Linked DNA regions of Arabidopsis thaliana. The protein of the gene in region 4 interacts with the protein of the main gene of each other region in a pairwise test. Each region holds a gene or a part of one and is shown on either strand. Other genes may lie near its edges.

What was found.
Region 1: the proteins of AT4G38250 (region 4) and NLM1 interact in a two-hybrid assay, tested with the Arabidopsis thaliana proteins (one large-scale study listed by BioGRID).
Region 2: the proteins of AT4G38250 (region 4) and AT1G27300 interact in a two-hybrid assay, tested with the Arabidopsis thaliana proteins (one large-scale study listed by BioGRID).
Region 3: the proteins of AT4G38250 (region 4) and VAP27-1 interact in a two-hybrid assay, tested with the Arabidopsis thaliana proteins (one large-scale study listed by BioGRID).

What each region holds. Positions count from the first base shown.
Region 1 is NC_003075.7:10,419,406-10,427,321, reverse strand, and holds NLM1 (NOD26-like major intrinsic protein 1), read left to right. Parts: upstream 1-3,813; 5' UTR 3,814-3,912; coding exon 3,913-4,080; intron 4,081-4,192; coding exon 4,193-4,417; intron 4,418-4,841; coding exon 4,842-5,060; coding exon of another isoform or gene 5,061-5,111; exon of another isoform or gene 5,112-5,211; coding exon 5,212-5,273; coding exon of another isoform or gene 5,274-5,277; exon of another isoform or gene 5,278-5,377; coding exon 5,378-5,594; 3' UTR 5,595-5,801; downstream 5,802-7,916. Other genes in the region: CMT2 (chromomethylase 2), read right to left, coding at 6,386-6,551, 6,656-6,759, 6,844-6,913, 6,997-7,040, 7,226-7,327, 7,405-7,523, 7,639-7,726, 7,802-7,888. UniProt on the Arabidopsis thaliana protein: Water channel probably required to promote glycerol permeability and water transport across cell membranes.
Region 2 is NC_003070.9:9,480,099-9,487,495, forward strand, and holds AT1G27300 (uncharacterized protein), read left to right. Parts: upstream 1-3,058; 5' UTR 3,059-3,225; coding exon 3,226-3,366; exon of another isoform or gene 3,367-3,634; coding exon 3,635-4,096; 3' UTR 4,097-4,270; downstream 4,271-7,397. Other genes in the region: AT1G27290 (uncharacterized protein), read left to right, coding at 1,690-2,101, 2,462-2,478; NTF2A (nuclear transport factor 2A), read right to left, coding at 4,517-4,588, 5,396-5,692.
Region 3 is NC_003074.8:22,396,615-22,405,501, reverse strand, and holds VAP27-1 (vesicle associated protein), read right to left. Parts: upstream 5,393-8,887; 5' UTR 4,966-5,392; coding exon 4,866-4,965; intron 4,779-4,865; coding exon 4,708-4,778; intron 4,624-4,707; coding exon 4,542-4,623; intron 4,442-4,541; coding exon 4,326-4,441; intron 4,218-4,325; coding exon 4,062-4,217; intron 4,001-4,061; coding exon of another isoform or gene 3,981-4,000; coding exon 3,927-3,980; coding exon of another isoform or gene 3,833-3,926; exon of another isoform or gene 3,590-3,832; coding exon 3,512-3,589; intron 3,208-3,511; coding exon 3,094-3,207; 3' UTR 2,778-3,093; downstream 1-2,777. Other genes in the region: AT3G60590 (cytochrome P450 family protein), read right to left, coding at 5,749-6,770, 7,082-7,274. UniProt on the Arabidopsis thaliana protein: Part of a membrane-cytoskeletal adapter complex that forms a bridge between the endoplasmic reticulum and the plasma membrane. Associates with microtubules.
Region 4 is NC_003075.7:17,932,479-17,940,066, forward strand, and holds AT4G38250 (Transmembrane amino acid transporter family protein), read left to right. Parts: upstream 1-2,923; 5' UTR 2,924-3,054; coding exon 3,055-4,365; 3' UTR 4,366-4,590; downstream 4,591-7,588. Other genes in the region: CGL1 (alpha-1,3-mannosyl-glycoprotein beta-1,2-N-acetylglucosaminyltransferase), read right to left, coding at 1-37, 113-175, 406-499, 615-705, 807-868, 974-1,043, 1,158-1,226, 1,293-1,359 and 8 more; AT4G38260 (transport/golgi organization-like protein (DUF833)), read right to left, coding at 4,599-4,760, 4,841-5,032, 5,109-5,315, 5,397-5,580, 5,650-5,732; GAUT3 (galacturonosyltransferase 3), read left to right, coding at 5,955-5,993, 6,135-6,190, 6,290-6,338, 6,432-6,482, 6,561-6,698, 6,964-7,104, 7,191-7,525. UniProt on the Arabidopsis thaliana protein: Translocates preferentially neutral amino acids from the vacuole to the cytoplasm.

The DNA.
Region 1 (7,916 bases), 7.5 Mb from region 4:
TGTCGTTAGCTCAATTGGTAAAGACCCTAGGCGAAGCTTAGAGGTCGCCGGTTCGAGTAATGCTTGGAACGAAACTAATATTACATGTTGTGGTTTCGGGCCTGGAGGGATTACGGGCTTCGGCCCAGAACCTCCTGGTATTCAAAAAAAAAAAAAAAAAAAAAAAAAAAAAAAGAAAGTCAAAGAAACATATCGAAACTGAAAATATAACGTTGATTAGAGAGCTCACCTTTCATTTTGTATGAATAGTTACAATATAAACGAAGAAAATCTAAGAGTGTGCGGAACTTAAAGCATCCAAAACTCCTTCATTGGCTTATCCAAAAATATATAATAAGAGTGGCATGTAAAATGTTCTAGAGTATTATTATAATTTAGTAAGTTTAACGGTTTTGACATACACTTGCATCTTTTATCTCTTAATTCGTATGACCTTCGAGATAACCATCTATGACATTTTAAGGGAACGAAATGAGAGGCACCATAATCATATTTACAGGTCGGTTACCCTCCTCATCCGTGTGATTGATAAGTGGATCCCAAATAGGATTACATGTCTTCGATTTTCTTTCAAAACTTTGTACATAAAGTTTTTTTGTTGGTCAGTAAATTTAACATGTAAAAAACAAAACAAGAAAAAGTTTAAGCAAAGAAAAAACACTCATATACAATAATATTATTTTCACCTCTACAGGAAAGAGGTTTCATTTTTTCTATTTATTAAACAAAATATATCTTATTCGGTGTAGCATTATTTATTTCAAGTTGTGAAATAAATGTAACATCAATTTTATACTATTGTTCTCGACGTGAAATCTTATCGAATTTTGGTTCCATGGTCAAAACTCAAAAAGATGGTTGTACAGATATTAAGCATATCTTAGAATGATTACCAAACATGTGACTGAAATTTGAATCAAACTTAATAGTAATAAAAATGATTTCCCGTGATCCATGGCACCTTTTAAATCAAACTTAATAAAATATTACAAGTATGTATGATGAAGTTAAAAACCTTCCTTTCTCATGCGAACATAATATATTAATATGTCAAAATATACGATGGTTTTACTACAATGCATTTCCGAAGTGCCGGGAAAATTATATATAAACTATATTCAAATATAATTTGTTTAGCTAATTGGTAAAAAAACTGAATTTAAGTGTGGTTGTGTAGACGAAATGCTCTATTTTGAGCCTTAATGTTAACGAAAAACTAGATTATATATTTTTCTTTCTACGTAACCATAACCTCGATTAATGTACGTGTACTGTTTCATTTTTTGGACCCGACAATGTCTTTCGGCTTACAAAGCTTGGCCTGATTAATTAAAATAAAATTATCTTTTCAGCAAAAAAATAATGGAGGTTTTTATTGATGATTCGAACTAATTTTGAAAATTATATATAACTACAAATTTCATATTATTCGACCAATAATTTCCGAATAAAATAAAAGAAAATTACATGTCAATCCAATTCATGATTTTAAAATACAGTTGTACAAAAGTTTTAAAAGATATTTAGCATATCTTGAATTATACAGTTACTATACATGTGACTGAAATTTGACTCAAACATATTAGTAATAAAAACGATTTCCCGTGATCCGTGGCACCTTCAAATTTAAACCAAACTTAATAAAATATTACAAGTATGCATTCTGAAGTTAGAAAAAAAAATTGCCTTCCTGGCTTCTTTTAGTTACAACTTACAAGTTCCTGATTTTGCACTAATTTGGACATAGAACCAAAATCTTATCTCATTCAATGATTTCCAAAAATTACAAAAAATTAAAATATATTTTAATTCAATTAATGGTTTTGAATTACAATATCTGCATTTTAAGAAATCACATAAGATTTTTAGATAAAATTCAAAAAACAAATTTAGATATATATTTTTTTGGAATTTCTATTTAAAACCTGGTGAAATTGATAATGTGTTTTAACATTAATACATATACTGATAAACCATTTTAGATGAAGATAATATCTATATAAAATTTTCCTTTGCATTATCTTTGATACGTAAACCAGATATATTGCAATTAAAAATATAAAATTACGGAATAACATTGTAGCGAGAAATTGTGGAGCGTCATAATAAAAAAAGTTACATAGTTTTGGTAGAAATTTTTGACATGTAAGTTGTGAACAGACCCGTTAACAAATTTATGTCTCATTTACTTTATGCACACATACTACTCGTAACACTCTCACATCGTACAAAGATATAGATCTAGCACACGTATAATAGCTTCGGAAGTCATGCTGATGAAATGATGTTGATGATGATGAATATGATGGTGTATGATTATATCATGATGGGTTTGATATCATCGATTATAATAAAGTTATGATGATGTAAAAAAGTTAATGAATTGAATCCGAGTGTCGTGGTGGAAACATTAAGTAGCCCCCATAATTCATCAGTCCATTCAACTCATTTATTTCATCAACTTATTAAAATAATATAAAATGATAGTCAATTCATTGGTTGAGTTAAGTCAATGATCTACTAATTTTGATCGACTTTGATACTCCTACATTTACATCAATGTTTCTTTTTCTTTCTGAAATATTCTTTATTTACCTTCCCTTTGCATATATGTATGTTCTCAATTTCAATTCATATTCACTCCTCCTATTTTTTTGGCACCATACATCATGCACATCTGGATCGATACGTAACATGAAAGTCTTTAAGATTTGTCTTGTCACCATTAACCAGCATACGTGTTTACATGTGGAATTAACATTGCTAATTTACTGATAATTCAAATTGTACATTATAAAGAAACTTCATTTTTTCTCTGGTGGCCCGTGGCCACAACCCTACATTCTAACATCCATTAAAGAGGGTTCGAACTTAACCTAATCTAGAGATGACATTTTGAGTATTGTCGCAAATAAAACATTCTGATCATAATTAACATTTAGTTATATGTTAGTATGGATTCAAACCTGAGGTTGATATGATCGGATCCAAACAGTACACTACATTAAGTTTACGGATCGCAATCAAGATTGTTACGTTGGCATCAAGGTATATATAAAATATCTTGAAATTTTTTAGTAATTTTTATAATGTTGTGTACATATGTACACATGCACAACTATAAGCTAAATAAAGTATGTCCGTATTACCCGCTTGGTAGTTGAAGACTTAAAGAGGCCATCATCAATTCCATCTAGTGACATTTTTCAATTTCTCATAAATGATATAGTTTATTCTATAGTTTGCATGACATAATTTTGTTTTGTTTATATGATACGAACAAATTTGGGTGTAACAACATATGACCGGTGACTTTATATCCGAAATTCAGAATTCGATATGAGATGTTCTAAATGAATACTTATGTGAAATACAAACAACGCATAAAATGACGTATATATACTTATGTGATTATAAATGAATATTTGGAAAGTAGAATAAAAATTTAAAAACAAAAAGTAGATTGCAAGTATGCAACATTTGAATCCTAGGCGCGGATGGTTATGCATGTACGACATGCACGAATGATATAGGCTCTCTGCACAACACACAAGATCAAAACAAACAAATTCTGCATGTAGCATTCTAAAATTTTCGATAAATTTTATATTTGTTGATCTAAGAAAAAATTGTAATCCCTGAAAATTGAATTTGAGACCTGGTATAGAATCTCCACAAACATAGGAATTTATTATTATTAAAAAAGCTTTATTAACAATATATCATCTTCTTCTTTTTTTCAATTAATAAACTGGTAATATTAAAATCGTCAAAGAAGTCTCTCTCTCCCCCATGTTTGCCAATAAATAGGAGATAATCGCTACCAAACTTCTCATTCTCACAAGTCATAAACAGTCGTTTATAGTTCAATCCTTTTCCTCTTCTTTGTTTCTAAAAAGAGAAAAGTCACTTATGGCGGATATCTCGGGAAACGGCTATGGCAACGCCAGAGAAGAAGTAGTAATGGTGAATCTCAAGGATGAAGTCGAACATCAACAAGAAATGGAAGACATTCATAACCCAAGACCCTTGAAGAAACAAGACTCTCTACTCTCAGTCTCTGTCCCTTTCTTACAAAAGGTTTTTACTTTTAACTCTCCATATCCAACATGTTTTACAAGTTATAAATGAAAAGACTCTGTTTTGTACCAATTCACAAGACATCTCGGTTTTATTTACGCTATGTTTTCAGTTGATCGCGGAGTTTCTTGGAACCTACTTTTTGGTATTCACCGGTTGTGCATCGGTGGTTGTAAACATGCAAAACGACAATGTCGTGACTCTTCCAGGGATCGCTATCGTTTGGGGACTCACCATTATGGTCCTCATTTACTCTCTTGGTCACATCTCTGGTGCTCATATCAATCCGGCCGTTACCATTGCCTTCGCCTCTTGTGGCCGTTTCCCTCTCAAACAGGTCCTTAACACATACACAATTACATATAGCCTTTATATAATGATCGATCAAGTTTTGTATTTTATGTGTGTTTTTGAGTTTCATGAACAAACTAATTAAAGAACATTAGTGTATTTTGTTTCCATTGATCTAGTTTAGCTATCGGTTGCTTGTATTGCACACGAGACTTTGGGTTATTCAAATACGTAGCGTTTTTAATGCAACGTTTACTATAGATGAGTGAAGATACGTAAGGACAAATCTACTTTTGCTAGTTTCCAAAATAAATTAAAATGTTATGTAACTTTTGTATGTATATAGTTTTTCCACACGTCCATATTTTGTTATATAAACGTCAAAATATCTTCCAAGATTGGGTCCCTTCCCTAGTTAGTGTGAACTGGTGAATTAATTTATTTTATTTTTGTTCTTTGAATTTTTTTAGGTTCCAGCTTATGTCATATCACAAGTGATAGGATCAACGCTCGCGGCTGCGACATTACGGTTGTTGTTCGGACTTGATCACGACGTTTGTAGCGGAAAACACGATGTGTTTATCGGATCATCACCAGTGGGATCAGATCTTCAGGCGTTTACGATGGAGTTTATCGTCACTTTCTATCTAATGTTCATCATTTCTGGCGTTGCTACCGATAATAGAGCGGTTAGTATTTTCATATCTTCTTATGTTGTCAAATTCGATGGCTTATATTAGTGTTATTAATTACTGCTCCCTCTCAGAAGTTACATTTGTTTTCTGTGGTCTTTAAATTTACGAGAAACTTAACATTGGGACCAAATGCTGCAATATTCAGATCGGAGAACTTGCTGGATTAGCAATAGGATCAACGGTGCTACTTAACGTGCTAATTGCCGCGTAAGTTATCAGTTACCATTTCTATTATTGTGCTTATACTTTTTTTTTTTAGAGTAAGAATTCCAAAAAATGATTTATACGGTTATGTTCATCAATTTTATTAGACCGGTATCGAGTGCGTCGATGAATCCAGGAAGAAGTTTAGGACCTGCACTGGTCTATGGTTGCTACAAAGGAATTTGGATATACTTAGTTGCGCCAACTCTTGGTGCGATTGCGGGTGCATGGGTTTATAACACAGTTAGATATACCGATAAACCATTGCGAGAAATCACTAAAAGTGGTTCATTTCTAAAGACCGTGAGAATCGGTAGCACTTGATAAGAGAAAAGAAAACATGGGTGGAGTTGATGGAGTATTTTCAAATGAATGTAACAACTTTCACCACACCTTACGTATATGGCCTTTGTATTAATTGCTACGTTTATCTCTTTTATTGTTAACGCCAAGATTCTCTATCTTGTTATTAATGTGTAACTGTATCGTATATTTTTTAAATAATAAAATTCAATTCTAGAAAGATCAAACTTTAAAGTTTTAAGCAAAATTGTTGAATATGTAGAATTTGGAATTTGTCAAAGGAAAGCACAAGATCCGGAGTCACAATCATTTGCCTAGTGGGGCAATACTTTTGTCCATAGAACTTAAAAGCCGGGCACGGCACGTGTTGGTTTGACCTGATAGATCAAAACTAAACATCATCCACCACATACCAATCTCTAACGAATGGCACACATCCCAAATCATTCACCTCATATTTTTCTCATGCAACATCAGGAAACTTTTCATTTGTGATGAATAAAGAAGAAAACAATGAGGAAACTTTTCATCCACTAAAATGTGAGAAAGAAGACCAATTATTATTCATCTAATTACCCAACAAAGAATAAATTACATATTAGTTGGCTAAAATAAGATTAATTTTTGAAGAATTTACTAATCGAAAAATCCTAATCAAACCGAAATTTCGATCGAGCATAGTAGACTGAGCTGGCCAGCCGCTATGATGTCACAATTCACTAACACAAGGAAAAACTAAAGAACAAAATTGATCATTTTGACGAAGCCTCATGGAGAGGAACTAATAACAAACTTGTTTAATGTCCTCTGCTTCAATGAGGAATGGTTTCTTGAAGCTGAGGGTAAGTTGAATGCGAAAAGTTTTGGGGAAGTTTTATAAGATGCTCGTCGCGGGCTAGACCACGAAAAGCCATACCAAGCGAATAACCTAAAGCACGAGAAACCGAGACTGCCACTGCATTTCCAATCTGACAATACCTGTAGATAGTGAGAAGAAGTGAAATGATATTCGCATTTGCTTAGTAGTCTGAAACTATTGTCCTGGTTCTTATAATTTTTTCCAAATGAACAAAAGCAAGTACCTTTCTTTAATGGTTCCACAGAACTGGAAGTAATCAGGGAAACCTTGAAGCCGTGCAGATTCTCTTATGGTTAGCACTCGATCTTGCTCAGGATGCAATAACGCCTGCAAATAGCAAACTTCTTATAGAAACTTTTAAGAATTTAAAATATGGTATTATGTTAAAACCTGGAATGGCTTTGAGGGTACCTGACTGTGGCATGTTGGGACTGTTAGAACGGTTGGAACAGTTTCATCCCACCAAAGACGAGCAAACGGTCTGCGAATTTTATAAATCCAGAGAGACTTAAAAACATGAAAGCTTCAACAAATAGTTTCAGGCGGAGGAGTGTAAGAGTATACCTTTTAGATTTCCCTTGCTGAAAAGTAAAGACGTATCCTGGTACCTAAGGAGGGCCACAAGTGAGCTGATTCAGTACACATATATTAATTTTTGGGATTATGAGAACTGTTGACAGCAGACTTAACAAGCAGAATGACATTAGCTTGAGAATTTCAGCACTAATGTGTAGTTTCATCGATAACTCATGTAATTTTGGTATGGCTCAGTTCATATAAGAGGATTCTTTACCAAAGGCTTTCCTGATGGCAGAATAACCGGTTCCATTGATGGATCACGACATACTGTATTGTTTCTGACGATTAACCCCGGAAGATCCCTGAAATTAGCTCCCTGCAAACACTTCTCTCGACATGAGAATCTTTCGGCTAGAGGATCGGGATTGTTAATTAGTAAAACGAAATGAGTACCTTCCTCTTGGGGATTTGGCAAACTCGGGCATAGTCGTCTTCATTTATATGGAACGGCCTGTGATCATGCAGTAGCATTGTTCTTTTGTTACAGTTATCAATTGCAGAGCCTGTCAAATCTGACATAGCAAAACACTAACGCGTGAGCTACCATATGTAATATGCAAGTGGTCATGGCTTATCAGACAATTGTTGTGAAAGAGACCGTAACTACAGAATCCAGATCCAACTTACCACGTTTGGTTGATCTAATGTACCTCTGAAAATCTGTTTTTGGGAGACTTTCATAAGGCAATTTCTCCCGGTCTTCATCGTTTGATACCTAGATATGTGAAAAGAAATTATAAATATATATTAACCCTGAATTGCAGATGGATCTAGTGGAAATGAAACATACATGAGGAAGATCTGATATCGCATCTTTTAGAACAAGAGCTTTTTCAAGTTTTCTGGGTTGGCCTTCAGCATAAGCAACTACATTCCTCTGAAACATGAAAGCCAAGGTGGCTTAA
Region 2 (7,397 bases), on a different chromosome or scaffold from region 4:
TGTGTATCTTGGCTCTACACCCATAGCTTGGAGCTCGAAGAAACAAAAGGGAGTCGCACGTTCTTCCACCGAGGCCGAGTACAGGGCTGTTGCAAACACAACTTCAGAAATTAGATGGGTATGCTCTCTTCTTACTGAGTTAGGCATCACATTACCAAAGATGCCTGTGATATATTGTGACAATGTTGGTGCCACATATCTCTCTGCAAATCCGGTTTTCCATTCAAGAATGAAGCATCTAGCATTGGACTATCATTTTATTCGCGACAATGTGAGTGCCGGTGCACTACGAGTCTCTCACATATCAACACATGACCAACTTGCCGATGCTCTAACCAAGCCATTGCCTCGTCAACACTTTCTTCAGTTTTCAAGCAAGATTGGAGTGAGCAAACTCCCTCCATCTTGAGGGGGCATGTAGAGTATATAAGTAAAGGATAGTTTAGTAAATCATTAATCCCTAATTCATTCTAATGTAGTCCCTATATATATTGTAATTATATCATCTAATGAATTATTCAGCCTTCAATACTATAGTTTGATCATGTGCTTACTTTCCCTTCATTTGCGATACTTCAAGGTTCTTGCTGCCACTGTTTCTTTGAATGCGTCACATGTTTGAACATGTGTGTTCTTTTTGGATCGAAGCTTAGCTCTTTAGATGGAACTGAATAAGTAAAAGAGGTCACTGGATAAGCTCTGTTACTAGAATAATAGGAGGGCTTCTGCTTCACATTTGTAATCCTCTCTCTTTCTCTGAATTGATGTTGCAATTGCTTGTCATCAGTATCTGTATTTCCATAGATAACTGAACTCATTAAAGGGCAACCGAAGCTGCTTCGTGGTTTATGTTTCTTCTTTGTGGGCTATTTTGCTTTGCACTTTCACTTGTTTCTTAGTTTTGGTTTGATTTTTCATACTGGGCCCTGAGCAAAACAATTTTAGTTATATGACTTGTGAAACTTAAATGGGTTTTAATCGAATGGTAACTTCATCTAATTTGTTTGAATAATTCATCATGGACCTTAATGATAATATCTTGAGTCTACTAATCATTTCACAAATCCTTTCATTTTCCAACAGCAAGTAGCCTGATTTTTGAACCTCAGCGATAGACAGCTTAAAGTGCGGTCATTCTCGCAAAAAGCTATCAGTCTTTATTTGATTCACGAACATTATACACGAAAGTCAAAATTAAATAACCAAAAAAATTAAACAAAAAGCAAACAAGAAAACGACTTCTCTGGTATGATTGGAACAAATTTAATAGAGAGAGAGGTTAGATAAGAATGTGGTAGAAGATAAGACCCAACTACGCGTCATAACTGGGTCCCATCTTTGTCTCTTTCCCTTCTTCACTCGCCAACCCCATCGCGTGTCCCCACGCTCCTTCCCTTTACTTTTTCTCGTTATCCAAAACACGACGATTCTTCATTTTAGATTTTTTTCATTAATAAAAAAAAAAAAGTCTTTTATTGCAGAAATTTCGATCGTTTTTGTTGTGTGTACAGAGAGATTATCGTGTTTTGTTGGCAATCGCCATTAAACCTTCTTCCCTCTAACCCAATCAAATTTGCGGCTCTTTCTTTTATCTTCTCGCCTCGGTTTTAGCAAACCCTTTAGTTATCTTCTTCCTCAAGCAATTTTTCTTTTGGATTAGATTGGTGTTTTCTTTTGGTTTGTGTGGTGATGATGAGAAGGCAACGAGATGAACAACAATCTAGGGTTTTCTACGATCTATCATCTCTTGTTTTGAATCTTCTCCGTTCTCCTCCTATGCCGATTTCTTTACCTGATCATTTCCCCGATCCGCCCGCTAGAATTCGTCCTCCCTTTTCTTCGCATCGTTTTTCGTCTTCTTCGCCTTCTTTGGCTCATATTTCTCCGTCTGGATTCGCGTCGTTGCTGCTTGGTATATCTGTGGCTCTTATGCTATGTGGATCTGTGACTTTCTTCATCGGGTTTCTCTTGATGCCTTGGGTTCTTGCTCTGATTTTGGTTTTCTATGTCGCTGGCATCGTTTCTGCCATTTCTATGGTCGGGAGGTCGATTCTCTGTTACGTCTTGACGCCACCTTCTCCTTCCGGAAAGGAGATTTCTGGTAATTTTGTTGAATTTTAGGGTTAAGTTTGTCAAATTGGTTTCAATGATTCAAGCTTTCTACTTTCGTCTCGGATCTGTTTAGATTTTAACCAAAGTTTCCTTATTGATCATCTAGAAATGATTCCACTGGGTTTTGGTTCTGTCCTTATTTTGATAGAAATGGAGGTTCGAATTAGGGTTTTATTGAAAAGCACACCGATGTTTGTTCTGTCTTTGACTGAAACGATATTGTTCTTTTGTTTCCTCGTGGATCATATTATTCATGTTCACATTACTTTTGTTGTCTGAAATTAAACCTATGTTTGTATTAGTTTCATGTTCTTGCAATAATGTTTGTGTTTGACATGTCTATTCGCAGAATGGAAGCTTCTGTGAAATGATTAAACAACAGAGGTGAAGAATCTATACATCATCCGGAAGCAGAGCAGAGCGAAGCAGAACAAAAAAAAGAAGAAGAAGGATTGATTATATAAACACATATATCCGATAGAGTTTTTCTATGTTCTTTATCTGTATTTTGTTGGGGGGGTTTGGGAAAATCATGTGGATATCAGGGAGTTTTATATTTCTTTACATTTCGAAAAAAGAATTTTTCTATTTAACTACTGTTAGAAATAGAGAAGCCTTGTTATTTGTGCTTTCATGTATGTCGTTTTTATGTAACATGATCATTTCTTAAAGCATACAAAAAGATTTTAGGATTTCTGTTGCACTTCTTTCGATTTCCTTGCATTTTCGAAACACTCTGTGTTGATATCTCTTCCTTTAAATCTTCTTACAATATTTGCTCATTCTTGATCTCTTTTATGGTTTTAAATAATTGTCTCTTCAAGTTCACACGGAATCTAGTGTGAATCGAGGTTTAGTCGTGCAGAGTTGTGTGTGTTATTACATGTTTTATTATTGTTTAAGTATATTTATTTAGTGGAGGACTATACGCTATTTGCACATCTCAATGTCAAATTGCTCAAAAATGGTAGAGGTGCCGTGCCGTCAATAGATGTCACGTGTCCTGACTTGCCTTCTCAATACAAACAAAAATACTCTCTACCTAAAAAAACACAATAAACAACAAACGCATCTTTGGAGCGGCGGTGAGATTAGAGAAGAAGGGTTTGTGAAATGGAGTCCAGTGAGGATGTGGAGAATCTGAGTAGAGCTATTGAGAAGCTTCTTCATGAGAAGAGGAAGAGAGAAGCTTCTGGTGACGCCTTCATTGAAGACGCTGATGATCAGCTTTTCCTCTCTAGCCTTATCTCTCAGGTACTTTACCATCGCTCTGTTTTCTCCTTTGTTGATTTATCTGATGTTGCAGCCAATCAACTTTCTGGGTATATGATTGAATCATGAGTATTTGAGTGAGTCTGTGTAATTGTTTCGCTGTGATGTGTCTGCTTCGATTTTGATGAGATCCAACAAATACAAGCTTATCTTCATGATTGTGTTTAGTTGCTGTTTCATGTCCACAACATTATTTGTATTGGGATGTGTCCATTTCAGGCTTGTGCTAATTTTTTTGCCAATAACTTAGTTGGAATCACCAAACCCCAAGGGGAAAGAAGATGTCATAACCGGAGAAGAAGAAGAAAAAGAAGAAGAATCTGCAGATTCTTCACCATCCAAAGGAAAAAGCGAGGGCCAGAGACAATTGGAAGAAAGTATAGAAGAAATAGCTAAAGACATCAAGAAGGTGAAGAAGCAGAACAAAATAACCCATGTACTTCTCTCGGCTACGATCATCCTGACATTGGTTTGGCAGCTCTCTGAGTACTCCATGATTTTCATGTTGAAAGATAGAATAAGCCACCCAGTCAGATCCATCGGAGGTATGCTTAATGGAATGTTCAAAGGTAAGTTACGTCCAATCAAGAACCAACTTGCGGGGACTTCCAACTCCAATGACCAAAACAACCATGGGAATGGATCACACACTGGACCTCAACTTCAAGTGCCCGAGCTGTTGCGAGAATTCGGTTTCGACGATGAAGAATGATAGCTTCCCTTTGTGACTCAATAATACCAGTTGTTATTTAGGAACAGGGGTCACCCTCATTGTTTCTTTGCTTTTAGTATAAGTAGTTTACTTTTATATGATCAAAATGCGAAAGAATAGTTGCTTTCTCAAACTTTTCCACATGAAAAAGGGTTCCAAAAGAGAACCGTATTTCAAAAAATCTTTTGTTTTACCCTTACTGAATCATGGTTCAGTGCCCGAAAACAAAAGGAGTCATCTCAAACAAAGTAACAAATAGCTCCATTGATTAAAATAAAAACAGACAGCAAACCACCTGAAACAAAGCTTAATGTTCCAAATCTAAAACCAACTCAAACAGTTTTTGAATAGTCCCAAACTTTCCACCACTCTCTTTTCAGCTTCCAATAATGGTTCCATGTACCTCTGGCATCAAATTCCTCAGGCATAGTTCAACCTGAATATGTCATTGAACACGTAGTAGTTTCCCTGATTCGATATCAAATGGAACATCTGGACACAAAACACAAGTATGTCAGGAATCAGGCAAAATCCAAACAACAAGCAGTCATCAGATTTATGTTACAATCATATAGTGATCCAGTGCGTGATTCACAACACAAGAGATGCATACGTAGCTCATTACAAGTAGGTCAAGTTGACAGAAATTCATCCCACTTTGCTCTATACATACATTCCACAAGTTTGATGTTCATACAAATATGATAACAAAACACAATTAGTACCTTGATATGAAGAACTAAAATGACAAAAACATCTCTTATCGAACAAATCTAGTAAAGAGCGTTCAACACTAAAAAGAGAAAACAATGTCTTACGGCAGATGATACAAACACTGCAAGCATCTCAAACTATTTAGAGTTGAGACAATTTAATCAAGAAGGTGGCATATCTACAACTACAACAAGATCACATATGAGCATAGTTGAAAAAAACTAGCAGAATCATGGCAAAGCAGTTTCCCAATACTACATTCACGAAGTGCAAGGAGATAGAAGCTCCACAAGACAAAATCTAAATGACACAAGATTACATCTACTGATCTACGCAATCATTTGGGGGAAACCTCTTTTATCTCCAACCTTATCACAGATCTATCACTAAATGCATCAGGGAGGGTCTAAAATTTCGAGACAATTCCAGATCATTGAAGCTTTTAGTGACCTAATACACACATCAATCTACAGAGCAGTAAGGATAAAAACCCTATCGTACATGATCAACAGCGAGGAATACAAAGGAAACACTAAAAATCGAAGTGATCTAAACCCAAGGGAAAGAGATAAGGCAAAAAAAAACCTGGCTGAACTTGAGAGCGTGTTGTTCACCAGCGAGCTGAAGATTGCCGGAGACAAAGACGAGCATACCACCGGCGGGACCAGAAGGCTGACAATCGACGGTGGTGATGTTGTGCTTACACTGCTGGAAAGGGAGGCCGGTGAGCTTAGCGACGATGTTCTGAGAGCCCTGGATCTTCTGGCCTTCGAAGGTCAACATGGATCCTTCTTGGTATAGAGAAACCAACCCTGGACGATTTGCATCGAAGGTGGAGTAGTAGTGCTCAACGAAAGCCTTTGCAACAGCGTCTGGATCCATCTCTTTCTTCGTCTTCCTTTTTGATCCTTAGCTCTTGCGTCGTGCTTTTTCAACAGGCGAGAGAGGATCGAGAGGGTTAGATAATTTACTGAAAAATTATACGAATGGACCAAGACTAGAGATACTGAAATGAGTGTTTGACGATACTTTAAATGGGCCTTATATTTTTCAAGTTGGGCCCGTTAATATATGGGACAATCAACAGTATAGCTCAATTGGTAAATTGACTAACTTCATTTGATTCCTACACCATTTAAAGATTTTTAATCAAATTCTGATATAACTAAGATAATATTTTAAAGCATTTAACTAACATGGAAAATTATGAAATGAAATATTAATTTTGGATAGAAAATTTAAAACATTTATCTTTGTGAAATAAAAAGAAAGTCTCTTATAATATAACTTGTAAAGTAATCCTTTAAATTCTAAAAGATCTAAAACAAAATGAGTTAAATCCTATGTCTATGTGTTGAATCTGGAAGATCGAGGTGGAAGAAAAAGGATCATGATTCATGGGTGAGAGAACAACCGTTGATTGGTGTGTTTCAACTTTCAAGCAATCCCATTTTAAAAAAATAAATTTATGTAAGCAATTGCAAACAAAATGAAATGATTATGCTTTAAGATATCGACACGTGTAAAACAGATGACGTACCAAGAAAATAAATGATTCTGTATTTTGTTTTAGCCATTTGTTTTTTCTTTAAAGGAAAGTGTATGTTGAAATTGAAAAAACAAACCGAGTTATATATATAGAGTTATTTGACTAAAGAAGGAAGCTTTGGTTAAACTAACTTGTATAATTCTTTTGTGTAGTTTAGTTTTGATAAAATGGCCAAACAATTTTGGTCACTTTACCAACTACTGCAAAAAAACCATTTTCATAATAATAAATTGTAACACGCCTTTTATTTTTATTATTGGAGGGTGAGAACTGAGACCATATATGCCTTTGTTCCCTTCTTGTGGGTCCCTTTAGCCTTTTTTTTTCTTTTGCCTGCGCCGTTTAGTGTTTTTTCTTTTATATATAAATAGAGGTAAGTTATTTTACCAATCATTTGGTGTTATTAATAGTAGTATTAATGAGGTTCTAAACTTGTTTATAAAAATCAGATCTTACTAAACAAACTCAAAGAATCTCAACTATGAACATTTTTCTTCTAGAATCGAGTTTTAACATCATCATCAGCAGGATATAATTTTTTGTGTTTGAATTTTATCTGTATTTTTTTTAGGAGTACATAAGCAGCTTAAGATTAAAATATATATTAATGGAAGTATGAATGAAAAAAGAAAAGAAAGATAATCAGATAATAGAGAGAGAGAGAGAGAGAAGGAAGCAGACATTTGTCTTCCACCATATTCTTCTCATCTTTTCCGATGATAGATTCTTCTTCTTCTTCTTCTTCTACTACTACTTCTGCTCCTCTTTCTTAAGTTTCTCCATTTGATAATTCACTCAAGTCTCCAGCTCCTCTTCTTCTTCTCGTTGCTTTATTCGCTCTCTTTCACTCATCATCATCACACTCAAAGATTTCTGTTGTATTGGAGCAAGCTCTAGCGAATTTTCGTACTCCCCTTGTAGAATTTTAGTTTCCTGTTTTAGATTTCGAGGAATCTCGCTTTGGAAACTTTAAGCTCCTGTTCAAAGTTTCTACCTTTGTTTATTTTGTTTTTGTTTTCTTCTCTCTTATCTTTCGTC
Region 3 (8,887 bases), on a different chromosome or scaffold from region 4:
CTTTTTGGTCTTCTGATCTTTAGTGATCAGAAGTAGAGGCGATATAGTATCTATGTAAATCAGCATTAATTAGTTGAAGTACTTGAAAAATATCTGATCATTTCATTCTTAATGATATGAGTCATCAATTAATCCTCTCTTCATGATGTGATAATGAATGCTTGAGAAAATTGCAGAAGAAAACAATGAACAAAAACTATTATTACACTTACGTTCTATACGCCCATTAAAGAAGATGATCAAAGCCTAACACTATCTACAAAGAAAAAAAGTTACAACCACAATCAAATCCTTTACGCGGAGAAACTAGAATTCAATAAATGGCGAACAGAGGATGCTACGTGACGGTTAAGTAACTAAAATTTAAATTTGTTTAATTAGTTTTTGATGGTTTAGTAGTTGTCAAATAAACCGACAAGTGAAAAAAGGAAATTAACACGAGTTAACTTTTTTTGTTTAAAGGAAATTTGAATCCCAAACACATGTGAAAAAAGGAAACTTGAAACCTAAACACATGAGAGAGTTTATAAATAGTAGTCGGTCGCTGCTCTTCAATTATCTTCTCGAATCTAATCGATTGATTTCTCATTTGGATTCGTCAAGAGAATCACTGAAGCGTTTGTGTTCCAAGTAGAAAGATATGGCAACTCTTGAAGATTCTTTCCTTGCTGACCTTGACGAGTTATCTGAGAATGAAGCAGAATTGGACGAGAATCATGGTGATGTTGGAAAGGAGGAAGAAGATGTGGATATGGATATGGCGGATTTAGAGACACTTAACTATGATGATCTCGATAGTGTTTCTAAGCTTCAGAAGACTCAGAGATATGATGATATTATGCACAAAGTAGAGGAGGCTCTTGGGAAAGATTCTGATGATCATGAGTATAAGCTTATTGTGGATTGTAATAAGCTTTCGGTTGATATTGAGGATGAAATCGTTATTGTCCACAACTTTATCAAAGAAAAGTACAAGCTTAGGTTTCAAGAGCTTGAGTCGTTGGTTCATCACCCTATTGACTATGCATGTGTTGTCAAGAAGATTGGCAATGAGACGGATTTGACTCTTGTTGATTTTGCTGGCCTTGATCTTACTCCAGCTATTATCATGGCTATTTCAGTTACTGCTTCAACTACGAAAGGGAGTGCACTGCCAGAGGATGTTTAGCAAAAGGTGTTAGAGGCTTGTGATCGGGATTTAGATCTTGATTCCGCAAGAAAGAAGGTCCTTGAGTTTGTTGAAAGTAAGATGGGTTCTATTGCTCCTAATCTTTCCGCCATTGTTGGGAGTGCTGTTGCAGCCAAACTCATGGGGACAGCTGGAGGTTTGTCAGCACTTGCTAAAATGCCTGCCTGTAATGTTCAAGTTCTTGGCCACAAGAGGAAGAACCTTGTTGGGTTTTCTTCTGCAACGTCTCAGTCCCGTGTGGGTTATCTGGAGCAGACAGAGATTTTCCAAAGCACGCCTCCTGGACTTGAGGCTCGCGCTGGCAGGCTCGTGGCTGCAAAATCAACTTTGGCAGCTAGAGTTGATGCTACTAGAGAGGATCCGTTAGGGATAAGTGGAAAAGCTTTCAGGGAGGAGATCCGTAAGAAGATTGACAAGTGGCAAGAACCTCCTCCTGCAAGGCAGCCTAAGCCACTTCCTATTCCTCATTCTGAGCCGAAGAAAAGAAGGGGTGGTCGCCGTCTAAGAAAACTGAAAGCAAGGTATCAAGTAACAGATATGAGGAAGCTGGCCAACAGGACGGCCTTTGGTACACCTGAAGAGAGCTCCCTCGGTGATGGACTAGGAGAAGGTTATGGAATGCTTGGACAGGCAGGAAGCAAGAGGCTGCGAGTATCCAGTGTTCAGAGCAAGCTTAAAATTAATGCCAAGGTCGCCAAAAAGCTTAAAGAAAGGCAGTATGCGGGTGGTGCAACTACCTCTGGTTTGACATCAAGCTTGGCTTTCACTTCTATGCAGGGAATAGAGTTGTGCAATCCTCAGCAAGCTTTAGGATTAGGAAGTGGGGCTCAAAGCACTTCTCAGAGTCAGGAACCTTCTCGAAGCTGAAGAAGATCTAAAATATGCAAGACAGAGATACAAGCTTACAAGTGTTGAAAAGCCGAGCAATAAAAGTGTAAAAATGATACAAAGGTGGAAAGAAACTGCTTTCTCTATCTCATGTCTGTTTTAAGGTTTCTTCGGTCACTAAAGAGACAAAAGACATTGTTTGTTTGATCAGTCTTTGAATCACTTTTTGAAACGAAAATAAAAATATAGATGTACTCTCATCGTTTTAGTATCATCGATCATCATCATAAACAAACCAGAGAAACAAGAAACAGAGAGAAATAGTCTCATCGTTATACTCTCAACACATATAAAAACGTAAATTTGTTTTATCTATAATCTTTGATCAATTCTCCAAAATTTCTTCTTCTTAGCGCTGCTATCTGATCCAGGTAGTTTCTATTTCTCGCTCTTTTCTCTTGTAGTTTCTCCCATTTAGTATCTTTCTTTGCTTCAAGTTTTATTTGTGTAGCACGTCGGGTGTATGGACCAGACTAGGACAAATGAATAGTAAACCAAGAAGATGCAACAGGGTAATGGAGAACCGAGTCTTGTTGGTCTATTCGTTGTCCAAGTCCATGGTTCTTAGATGGAAACTAGAAGAAGATACTAAAAGTTGCACATGATTTAGCTCTTTCTTTCCTCATCAGTAAAAAACATAAGCATGAAACATTGCCGTTGTAGTTCATCTCTGTTCAATATTGATGTAAGAAATTATGTGGTAAAGGAAGAGAAAAGCATTTGGAACAAACATATACATACACTGACTAATGCAGACACGGAGGAAGGTTTGAGATGGAAAATGAAGTTAAGAAATATAAGAGAATTAGTGGAGAAAGAACCAACGCAAAGTCATTTGGATTACAAAAGTTGAAAAAAACATAGCAAACTGAGTTACGAAACACAAATCTTCTAGGACACCTTTTTAAGGCGAAATTGACAAATACAGAAGAGAAAAAAATGTCCGACTGAAAAGAGTTAAAAGTCTTTTTTTTTTCCTTCGTGGCGGGTGAGGGATTAATTTCAAGGTGGGTGGTTTATGTCCTCTTCATAATGTATCCCAAAATTAGACCGATGAGTCCGACCAAAAGAACGTACATGAATGGGATACCACCACTTTGGCTCTTTTTGCTTTCACGCCTTAACTGATCCTGCCACATCAAACCAAAATCTTTGTCAGATAAACAATCTCAAGATTCTAAACTAAGCTTGTGGAATATTCATACAAGACTGGTTTTGATTAATGGTATGGTGAGATAAGTCAACCATGGAAACAGAAGCCAATGCAAAAGATAAGTTAAAGCATCTCTTCACAAAAACAAATGATGACTTTAAGCATACCTTCTCAAAACCATGGAAAAACACTACAAACGCTACAGATTGCTAATCATCAAAGTAACAAGAGCATGGAGGAGATTCAGAGATAATAAAGGATCCAAGTGAGAGTTGTTTTACCAGTTCTCTTTGAAGTCTGTTGTTCAGTTGAATGGCAGACTGTTTTTCTTCGGTTAGCTTGGTAATGAGTGCCCTCGCCTGAAATCATACAAAATTCAGCGGTAATAGAAATAATGTAGAATGACTGAAGCAAAATAGTGTATAGTAAGTGGTAACTGTGTCAAAATAACATCTACGAGGATTTGGTGCACAAAAAGACAATTAATGGACGGCTTGAGCACTGGACAGGCTTCTAAAAATGTAGTGAACCTTTTAAGTAATCAACATAAAGAAAGATTCTCAACCTAGTAAATCAGCCTAAAAGGCAACTTTCCAGTAAAGCTACCTCCAAAAATCAGTTTTAAACAGAGCAAAAGCAAAAGATGATGTCACATGGTTTTGACGGTGACAAACTTGGAAGAATTGTGAAAAATACCTCAGATGTGTTTTCTTGATGTCCAGCCTTGTTGTCCACGATAAATCTCTCAAACTAAAATTAAACATGAAAATCTACATATAAATATGTCTACCAGAGAAACTGAAATCTAAACTTAAGTTAACATGTACTAACCGAAAATTCAGAACCATGTCCATTATCTGAGACAGAAGCCCTGGGTGAAGAACCCTCTTCAGATCCTTCGTGAACCGGTGATGGTGGTCGTGGTGGAGCAACATAAGTAACTCTCAGTTTAGTTTCCTCAACTCGATGTCCAGCCTCTTTGCTAAACTGCAAAATTTCATTACAAGAAACAAGAAAAATACTGCTTTTAAGTAAAACCAACACCAAACTGTAACCATCCATATGAAAACTGTAACCATCCATATAATAATATACCATCTCAGGAGTAACTTCCTTGGCTGTGACACCAGGACTAGCTATCACACCTTGAAGCAGAAACTTGTCCTTGCACTGCATATCGGAAGGAGCTTCCTTTTGAGCTTGCATGGTCACTATATCAAACCAGACATTAAGAATTCATCAAATTCCCTAATCCAATAACCAATTTAGCAAATCGAAATTAACAAAAAAAAACACAAATCGAGAACAGACCAAGAACTTCGCAAGTAGACCTCGGGAGAACAACTCCAGTATTAGGCCTAACACAATACTTTTTCGGATTCGTCGTCTTAACCTAAATCATCACGAGAAGCCTCAGAAACACGAAACAATTTTTCTCGATTCCAAAATTGATAAGGCTAAATAAGAGAATTATAACCTTAAAGGCAACATTATTGTCGGTCTTGTTCGTCAAATAGAGAGAGCAAGAGATCTGCTTCTTCAATTCAACTACATCAAATCAGAGAAGAAGCTTAACACATAGATCTGGGGCAATAAGACATGCGAAATATTGAAAGAGTTATGAATAAAGCTTACAAGGGAATTGAAGATCGAGAGGCTCGACGGTGAGAAGCTCGCTGTTACTCATCCCGATCAGATCGCGGTTACTCATCCCAATCAGATCGATGTTACTCATCCCGATCAGATCGCCGGAGATTCAAATCGATTTTCCGAGAGAAAAAAAAAACGGTTTCCCGGCGATTAGATTCGTCCCGTGACACCGTCTCCGGTTCAGAGAGAGAGCAGTCGTCGATCGAGAGAGATTAGACAGAGCTAATGAATAGAGTGGGACATCGCTATTTGTCTTGTTCATTTCTCAAGGGTAATACTGTCAATTCATTTAAAATTGATAAAAACGCAAACGCGCCCTAATCGCAAACGCGTGGAGATGAATTACAACAACAACAATTCAACTAAAGTAAAGAATATACATTATAATCTGATCATATTTCACAACGTAACGTATAACTTTCTTTTTTTTACTGTTACCAAGTACTCACCAAATGCAAAAACCTATTACTTATAAGGCTATAACACAGTACATATATTTTTCTTCTTCTTTCTGACATGACTTAGTAAAAATACAAAACCATATAAACTAGTCTTATTCGACATTATGCTCTACTTTCTTAAGAGAAACATTTTCATCATTTTTCGTAAATTCTTAAATGTCTTTCTTTGACAGGAATCTGTGTCAACCTTTGCATATTCTCAACCTTAACGTCAACCTATCAGCCTTTAATATTGAAATGAATAACATCACATACCTAACTAAAAGAGCGAATATGATCATAAAGAATATGTGTTTTTTTTTAATCCTTATCACCAACCCACGAATAATAAAAGCTATACAGTGAAGAAAGAGTTACAAATCTTTGACATGACTTTAAAAACTAAACGAAGAAACATTTATCTGTCTTTACTTAGAAGCAACAGATTGTGGTTGCTGACCTGTTGTTGTTCTAGATGCAAAACCAGCAAACCAAGCAACTCTCATGAGTTGCATTCCCAAGATCAATACCCACCAAGAGACAAGCCCACGAAGCATATGAACCACCCAAACCGGTGCGTTGACCTCTGCACTAAGTGTCAACCCTCTCATCAGTTGCAAGATTCGGTAAGCCTCGTAGACAACTGGTGTGACTAGCCAGACCGGTGATTGCCAGTGCCATGTGAGGATCTCTGTTAATGTCTGAACAGCAAGGAGAATGAAGTACGGGAAGAGGATAACAGCGGACGAGAGGAAAGGAATCTGGGGCTGGAGAGAAGCGAGAAGGCCAGATTGGGATCCGAAGAGAAGTAACATTGGGACTAGAAACCCGATTATGAGTGAAAACATGTTCCAGAACTTATAGCTAAATGGTGGTTTGCTGTTGCAGGACTGTGATGGGTCTTTAGGACGTGCGCAAGAATCAGCCATTAAGAGGAAAAGGGTTGCTCCAAGATTGAAAATGCAATCTAGACCGATCAAAGAAAGTAGACTAACCACGTTGGAACCGAGAAAAACCGATGACAACGGAAGCCATAAAGTAGGCGCCATACCGCTTGTGAGGAGAACAGATGGACCCAAAAGCCATATTGGCCATTTAAGTACCTGAACTTGAGAATTAGTTCGTTGTTGCGCTGACATATCTACTTTCTCTTCCTCTGCACTCTCGGAGACAATAGATTCGAACACATTCGCGGTTTTGTCCAATACTATATCAGCAGCTTCTTCTGCAGAAGCATGAATGAAAGGTGACGGTTCCCACTGAGACAGCTTTGGTGTGCATAAGACACGGAGATTTCTGAAACGGAAATTACAAGATCCAGTCTTTAGTTTCTGCAACATATTCGGATTCTTGAGACGGACTCTTGGAGTCATAGTGCATAGAGACTTTGTAAGAGATACCATTCCTTGGCTCACCATTGAAGTCTCTAAAAAAAGCTTCAAACTCTGTTCTTAACATAAACAAACAAAACAGAACATTTCAAAATCATCAGGACCAAGACGATACATGGACACAGGGGAAACACTTGAAGCTACTAAACCGGATAATCGATATCAAATCAATACAAGTCAGAATCAAAACCGGTAAGTGAAGCAATTAAGCATAAGGAGGGATAAACCAAATTGAAGTCGATTATCAAAATATATACCGATCAATTTTACCATGAATTCTCGGGAAGGTAATCACGATAACATATAAGGAAATCGAATTAAAGAGTAAGAAGCCGATATGAAATCGGAAAAATAAAATAAAAACACTCACCGGCGAATCGCAGAACGGTAAGATCCCTAATCCGTTGGCTGTTTCTTCTCTTAACGTCTCCGGAGAGAAAAATCTTTAGAATAAACTTGAATGTGACGTGTTTGGATACTAAGATAATCATGTCCGGAACAAAAATACAAAGAGCTACTATGATTATACGACGACGTGTTGATAACTTGAATAGTCGGCCCATCCTTTTTAAAAAGCCCACTATAGATCGGTAGCTTATGTTTATATTTTGTTATAATTTTTGATAAGGAGGATTTACGTGTCTTCAAAAAGCTAAGACGATGGCCATGGTGGCACTGTTCACCGTTGACGTTGTTTTTGTCACTGCCAAATGAAACGTCTTAGCCCGCGTAGTTCTTTTGGCAGTTGGAGTGGTCTAATCTCGTACTTTCCGACGTCTCTTTGTCCCTGCAGGGAGTTTATGCATTATTTTGGTCGTATGGATTAAAGGTACGTATGGAATGGTAGTAACAATGATAACGAGATTTTGATAATAATGATGGTGTGAACAGAAATGTAAAAGTGAGTCATTCTCATTGGCTTCGGACAAGCAAATCTAGTGAAATGTTACTTTACCAAGTCACGACACTATCCAAAAACCAGACTTATTGAAACCATTTGTTTGGCTACCAACTTTTGTATTGCACTAATTCATAATCGAGATTTACAATCAGAATGGATCATGTAAAAAGTTACTTATGAGTTTTTGTTTTCTTTTAATTTGGAATCTCTTACTATGATTTAATTCATGATTTTGTATTATTTTATTTTTCATTTATGCATACATTTTTTTTTTATTACAAAAAGGGTATTTTGAAACGATTTTGCGCTTGGTACACTAAGAATTTAGGGTTTGGGAAAGGAGACTTTGAGAGTTGAGACGTGACTTCAAGAAAACAGGACAGAGACGGAATTTTGAGAAGCATGCATCTTTTCCTCCGTTTTAGTCCTTTTGAACTTGAGACTCGAAAGAAAACTGCAAGACAAAAACTTGAATTTTACTATTAAAACAAGTTCTAATTAGTCTAGTTTGGGGTATGGGAACAATAAGACAGGTAAAAGTATATATTAGAGAGCTGTCCGATTTAGTTGACTGTTCATTAAACTTTTTTTTTTTTTTTGATTGATGATGACTTTTTTTTTTATCGTATCCATAATGTACCACATATTTTGTTTATCAGAAAAAATTAATACCGTTTGGTATCTCTATCTTTTTACCTATATTAGTATATTACAGACCTTTTTCTTGCCACTTCTGTTATTTTGTTGTCGTTTTTTTTTCATTTTGAAAACTTTTATCATTTCATGTCACTGATCGTATCTACTAGAATTTTAACTGGTCCAAGTATTAAAGCATGTACACGTTATCCATTAATCAATTGATTCAGTTATTTGAGTCACAATGTAAGTCGTAATTCAAAGCGGTTAATGTTCTTGAAAGTTACTTTATGAATCAGTTGACCATTTAAGCTTTAGCGTATTACGTGGGAGTCACTGTTTTTTTTTTTTTTCTTTTTCAAATTAATATATATATATATATATATATACATTTGTTCTCGATAACTAATGTAAATTTCTAACAAACGAGTTGGTTTTCCAAATAGAATCTTGTATTGAAACTTTTTCTATGTTGACTTGTTGAGAGATAACGGTGGTTGTCTTTAGTGAGTCATTATTAGAGGTTTCTTTTTTCATTAAATCAAACAAACTGAAGTTAGGAAAATCAAACAAAAAAAGGAGAAGTCGAAAACATTTAACTAGAAAAATAAAATTAAATGAAGAAGACTTGAAGCTGAA
Region 4 (7,588 bases):
CTGTCAGGTATCCCAGGTCCTTTGCTTTCCAGTCAACCTTTATGAATGAAATAGGAAACCAGTGAAAACTAGTGATGCAACAAAAGGGGGTAAAAAACACACTTACGCTTACCGTCACATCGTTTAGCTTTATAGGTTCCAGATACTGACTGAAAAACTGTCCCAAACTAGACCCCTGCCAAATTAATATAACAAGGTTATGGATAAGTATGAAATGCAAAAATATATTATGTGGTATTGACTGTCTACATCCATGTGTCGGGAAACTATAGGACGAAGCTGCAATAATACATTTTTCATACAGAAAGCAGAAGTCATATGCAGCGAACATAGGTCAATTTAACAGCATTACAAAAACAGACTTGTAAAACTATGATATATAGGATAGCATAATCGGGTACTAACATGTTCACCAAAATTGTATGTTCTACAGACTTCCGGTCGAATGAATTGGCGGCCTTTATGGTTTTCCTTTAGTCTCAGCCAATCATCCCAGTAAGTGGATATTTGTTAAGAAAAGTCTTAGAAACGTCAAACTATTTTTTTTTTTAGAATTTAAGAAGCGTCAAACTATAGTCATCGAGATTGAAAGAAAAAAAAGCATATAAGGATATGCCTTTGGCCACTTTGGTGATAACTCATCCCAAGTCGATCTCTTGAGCATCCACCCAAGGCCAGGAAAAAAATCTGATCGGTATAGCGCATCTGCAGATTATTTTAGCTCGCATGAGCTAGACATAATGAGGTATTGAAAGAACAGGCAAGAGAGGAAGCAAGGTAAAGAAGAAGAAGAAGAAGAATCTTACAGGGATCATGCACAAACTGCTTCTGTCCATTATCATTCCATGATGAAGCAGCCATAATGGTTCTAACACATGTTTGGACCAGAAAAGAATGAGAAACAGTAATAAAAACATTTGTATACTCTGTGGAAACTTATACTATAAGAGTCTAGCTTCAGTAGGTAACATACTTATCCCTATCCATGAGACTAGCTGCAGCCTCAAAGTAATCAAAGAAGTCTGGAGCAATTTCCATATCATCTGTTAAAGAGACAAGATAACCTCTCTTAAGCAATACTCCACAAGGTAAAGACAGCCCCTCTTAAACAATACAACAGCAAGGTACGATGAGTGTGAAAGGTTAAAAAGCGCCACCTTCTAGTATAATCACTCGACTAAATTTGTGTTTGTAAAACAACTGGTCCAGTGCCCACTTGTAGTGACCTGTATTAAAAAGTGTTTCAGTAATGGAGCTGGAGGGACGCAGAGAAAAGAGAAACCAGTCCTTACGTGCAATCTTGTAGTACGCAGTCAGTTCGCCAGGCCTTTCAGTGACCACTGGTTCAAAATCCAAGTGCTGAAAAGGGGAAAACGAGCCTTCATCCTCATTTATCTACTTGAACAGTGAGGAGAAAAATCACGCTAGATTAAATTACCTGCATATATGTTAATTGATTATAGCTCAATGACTTGCTCTTGACAGCTTGATCAGATCCATCCTGTCAGAAAATATGTCGTTGGAAAAGACCATGGTTAGTAATTCGTTGAATATAAAACAGTCTAAGAGACCACCACCCTGCAAATTAAGTACCTGAGATATAAATAGAGGATATTTTGAAGCAACGGGAGTTTGATATCTGTATAAAAAAAGAAATAGCCATTAGATAGTTCAATCAAAATGTGGTATAAGAATTAAATCAGTATAGTATCTCACGTTAAAACTGATTTAACAGTCCTTTCAAGATAGTCTGCACGACTGCAGGCCATAACCACTACAGCAGCCACAGGCATCTGCTAAATAAAAAACAAGAAACAGGTTAGATGTATATATATAGCAAGTGATAGCAGTTACAAATACGAAGAAAGGCATCTTCTTATCCAGACCTGTCCACCTTGAGTGAGTTTTGCTATTCCTTTTTCTGGAGGAAGAAAATAAGCATTAGTAGAAAAACTAATAAAAAGAAAGCAAGAAAATGAGTTTTACAGGTGATAGTAAGGCACTTTCAAACGTCTGGATTAGATCCTTAAGCTGCACAAGTTCTTCGTCCTGGCGGTTCTTCATATCTACAAGACACTCAGAAATCAATGTATAAGTCTTCTACTCCATTTAGAAAGTTAATTTTGTATAGTATTCAATAGGTTCCAAGAACCATGGTCATCTAGGATTCCACAAGTCCCAATGAGGAAAGAAGAAGGGGATATACCTTCGAGGGCAACAATCCGCGACTGTTTGATGCTAACTTCATCTATGAGGCCTCGCATTTGACTAGTGCAATGGTTCTCAGATTCGATCTGGAGAAACAAATGAAAGGCTGTGTATAGATCTTCATCACACACCAGGAAAAAATCGAAATACCAAAGGCAATGATATGGTGTAATAGTGCAGATAGTGTCTTCTTCTTGAAAGTAGTTCATGGGCTTGTAAAGAGCCAAAAAATGGGATTTCAAAAGGAACTAGTAGCAATGGTCTAAAGACAAAAGGCAGTGGTAAAAGTAGAAACTCACAGCGGAACTGAGGCGATCTGCATACTGTGATTGCGTCTGGAAAAGCCTCATCTAGAGAAGAGAAGAGAGGATAATTACAGACAGATTTAGGTTGCAGCGATGGAATCAATTTCAGTTTCAACTTCAAAAAGCGAGATCATCGGATATAGATTGACCTGGATGTAGATGAACATGAAAGCTGCCGGGATGAGAAGAAATCTCAAGTCACACGAGATCCTCGCCATATCGACGACAAACAACCAGATCAAAACCGGTGGATCTTCTGGTGTTTGCCGCCGGGAGGGAGCTAGCTAATAAGGAAGTTGTTTGAAACGGCGTCGTGCGTTATAACAAAAACGGTACCGTTTCCCAGTAAAAATGATAAGATGACCATTTCATTTCATCCATAAATAGAGCCGAGCTTCTTCCTCTGTAAATCTCTGACAACAAACCAAAAAAGAGAGTCCACCAACTCTACACGCAATTCATCCAATTATCTTGCTGTCGCCATTCGCCAATATCCATCCCCATCTTCTTCGATTTCTGAGATTCGGTCGAAAATCATCAGATGGGTTTTCAGAACGAAGCTAGCTCCTCCTCTTATACCCTTAAAATACCTCCACCGGCCAGAGAGGACTCGCCTCTTCTCGGCAAGGGACCTCCCCTCTCCAGCCAGTTTAAGACCTTCGCCAACGTCTTCATCGCTGTCGTCGGCGCTGGTGTTCTTGGTCTTCCTTACGCCTTCAAGCGAACCGGATGGCTCATGGGTGTCCTCCTCCTCGTCTCCGTCTCTGTTTTGACCCATCACTGTATGATGCTTCTTGTCTATACCCGCCGCAAGCTCGACTCTTTCAATGCTGGCATCTCCAAGATCGGCTCTTTTGGTGACCTTGGATTCGCCGTCTGCGGCTCCTTGGGGAGGATCGTCGTTGACTTATTTATCATTCTGTCTCAAGCTGGTTTTTGTGTCGGATATCTTATCTTCATCGGCACTACTTTAGCTAATCTATCCGATCCTGAATCGCCCACCAGTCTGAGGCATCAGTTTACAAGGCTGGGTTCTGAATTCCTGGGCGTGTCTTCTAAGAGTCTCTACATATGGGGATGCTTTCCCTTTCAGCTCGGTTTGAATTCGATCAAGACGCTCACTCACTTGGCTCCTCTCAGCATCTTCGCCGATATTGTTGATCTTGGCGCTATGGCTGTGGTCATTGTTGAGGATTCCATGATTATACTCAAGCAAAGGCCTGACGTGGTTGCCTTTGGTGGTATGTCCCTCTTCTTGTATGGTATGGGCGTCGCTGTCTATTCCTTCGAAGGCGTTGGAATGGTCTTGCCTCTTGAATCGGAGATGAAGGACAAGGACAAGTTTGGCAAAGTCTTGGCTCTCGGCATGGGATTCATCTCTCTCATATACATCGCATTTGGTATCTTAGGTTACTTGGCTTTTGGTGAGGACACCATGGACATTATCACTGCTAACTTGGGGGCAGGACTTGTCAGCACTGTTGTCCAGCTTGGACTGTGCATCAACCTCTTCTTCACCTTCCCCTTGATGATGAATCCAGTGTTTGAGATAGTGGAGAGGCGTTTCTCACGCGGGATGTACTCTGCGTGGCTCAGATGGGTACTCGTCTTAGCAGTGACTCTGGTGGCTCTTTTTGTGCCAAACTTTGCAGATTTTTTGTCATTGGTTGGCAGCAGCACTTGCTGTGTGTTAGGCTTTGTGTTACCTGCATTGTTTCATTTATTGGTGTTCAAGGAAGAGATGGGGTGGCTGCAATGGAGTTCAGACACAGCGATTGTGGTACTAGGTGTGGTTCTTGCTGTGTCGGGAACTTGGAGTTCCCTGAGTGAGATCTTCTCTGTCAAAGTGTGAGCGTCCGTGAAGTCAGAGATTGGAGAGGTTTTTCTCTCCTTGTGTGCAATTATGTATATGGAATTGGTTGTGGTTTTAAGAGTAACTGTGATTGTATTTGTATTTTGATGGTTTGGAATAAAAGAGATCAGCTCTGTCTTCTGTTTTGTGTTTACATGTACAACATATGTGAGAGTTTTGATTTCTCAATGTTACAAGCAAGGGAAGCTCGCGAAATAAGCCTGGCTAGCTAATCAAATGCTTTGGTTTTGTATTATTACAAACTGTTGAGTGTGTTCCTTCCATGAATCGCCTTCTTCAAGATGCCTCTCGTAGAAGCAAATCTCACCATCACCACCACCATCTCCATGGGACTTGACGATGATCGCAGAGATGCTTCTGGTCCCATAACGCCCCTGTATCTCCATGAGTGAGACTGAATATTTATGGAAAGTGTTAAACAAACAATCAATGTACTCTAAAAAAGGAAGGTTACAGTTGGTCTCTGCATGTCGACGAAGATGGAGCTGAGATGGTATTCCGTCTCTGGTGTGAAAACGTGAGGTAGCTCGGTTTCTTCGTCCTTGACAGTATTGGTCATCACCTCCTCCACCATGGTCTTCACCGGGAATTCACCGCTCCCGTTCTCAGCCAGAAGCTGTTGGAAACCCTCCCTCAGCCTCAGACACTGCAGAGACAAAAACACGCAATTGGGGGAGTCTGCAAAAGGTAAATAAAGGGAGAAATGGCCCACATTTACTTACCTTGGGCCAAGGGGAGTCGAGGTTGGCGTTGGAAAGGACATGGATCCCGGGAGAGACTTGCGTCACGAGCTTGTCACCGTGGGGTGGTCGGTTGGTAATGTAAATCATGGATTTGGACAAGACATGAGCGACAACCAGGTTAAAGCCATTGTAGAGTGAAATTTCGTCTTGGATCTCCTCGGCAAACTCGGCCGGACTCTTTTCGCTCTGTTCTCACCAAAACGTTAAAAGTACTCTCAGTCTCTAACATGAGAGACAATCTAAAGCATATTAGGTGGTGGTGTAGACCTGCAAGTAACGAAGAGGCAGATCTCCACGGGATTTAGCAGCAGGGAAGGAGGAGGCTTCCTTGAAATTGGTGAGGAAAGCCAGACGGCCATGCCTCGTGCAGCCCAGCCACGTCCCGCCGCCAACAAGGTCTCTTCCTCCCACCGTCTCTCCGTCTTCCCACCAACGCAGCGCCTCTGTCGCCCTTGACAATTTACACAAAAGATTAGTACAATCTCATCAAAGGAAACGATTACAGAGGGGATTGAATCACCTGTTGTGATCTTCATCTCTGTTGAGAAATAGAAGAAAAGGGTACAGCGGATGCGATTGCCACAGAAATACTGCTATGCACATTCTCTTCTCCTCCGACGAACCAACGAACCAACCATCTCTCTGCTCTAATCAAAGTCGTCGTCTCTTTTTTTTTTTTTTTTCTCCGTCTTCTACTTAAAGAAACTGCGTGTAGTTTTTCTTACCACGAAACGGCAGCACGTGCAGGTTTTAACAAACCTCTCGATTGATTGATTTGCTTTAAAGAAAGCTCGCCGGCGATGTGGTAATATCAGTCAGATCCAGATGACGACGTTCTCTACATGCGCCGCCTTTTTATCGCTGGTACCTAGCTTGATTGTTCTCTCTCCGTTCGATATGATTATCTATATTTACTTAGCTCGTCCTGGAATTCGCACTACTCTCTTAAAATGGATCATCTGATCAAATTGTGCCTTAATTTTTTGACATGTCGACGATTTGCAGGTAGTAGTGCTACATGCTGTTCATGTCGGTGGAGCCATTTTAGAGTCACAAGCACCGTAATGATACATCTCCTTGAAGCTTGTCTTTTGGCTACACTGTTTCTATTTTATTTTTATACTCTTTTCTTCTTTTTGCCATGATGTTTCCTTATGCAGCCACAGAGAACTTAAAGCTTATCGTCCGCTGCAAGATAATAATCTACAGGTCCCATTCTCCTCTTGTTCTCCAGATAACTTATTTGGTTCAAATATCAGACTTTGCTGTGATTAAGTTTTTGTTATCCACTTTTGCCTTTAGGAGGTGTATGCTTCCTCAGCTGCTGCAGTGCACTACGATCCAGATCTGAAAGTAAGGCTGCAGTCCTCTTTCTCTGAGTAGTGAATACAATTTGTATGCTTCCTACTTCTAATAAAGCTGTTATCTCAGGATGTGAACATAGTTGCGACATACAGTGACCATTACGGCAATATACGCCTTGGTAGGGTGAAAATGGGGGATCTTTCACCTTCTTGGGTTTTGGAGAATCCTGCCTATCAAGTTAGCCGCAAAACAAAAGGTTCGCAGGTACCAAACATTTCATGTTCTGGTTTTTAGTTTTAATGAGATTTGATCATCAGTTTAAGAATAGAACTGTATATCCTATGGGCATATGGAGTTCTATAGTAGAAAACTTAAAGTGTGTGAAGTGATTACTTACCACTCTTCTCACCGAGCAAAAAATACCTCTCATGAACTTCATTTGTTCTAACCTTGTGTTTCTTGAATTTATCCTTAAGCTTGCTCATATTCTTTGTTCTCTAGTTGCTGACATTTTTTTGTATGGAATTAGCTAGTTATACCACGGGATTCATTTCAAAATGATACTGGAATGGAAGATAATGCAAGCCATTCTACAACTAATCAGACTGATGAAAGCGAAAATCAGTTTCCAAACGTGGATTTTGCAAGCCCAGCAAAACTGAAGCGGCAGGTGATCTGTCAAATAGCCTTCTTTTCTAATCTCTGGATGCCTTAACACTATATGACTGAGATTGTAACAACTGTAGACCCTTTCAGATTTTACGTCAGGAAAGGAGAGGTCAACGAACTTTAGAGCTGATCCGACAAGAAAAGGAAACTGATGAGCAGATGCAAGAAGCAGCCATTCAGAAGTCAATGAGCTTTGAAAACTCAGTCATAGGGAAATACAGTATATGGAGGAGAGACTATGAGAGCCCAAATGCTGATGCTATCTTGAAGCTTATGAGAGACCAGATCATAATGGCAAAAGCATATGCAAATATTGCCAAATCAAAAAATGTAACCAATCTGTACGTTTTCTTGATGCAGCAGTGTGGAGAAAATAAACGTGTTATAGGTAAAGCAACCTCTGATGCTGACCTTCCTTCAAGGTACTTTTTTACATTCCTCTTGTCAGCAATCTTTGTGGGACAACAATCTTTGTTGAAACTTTT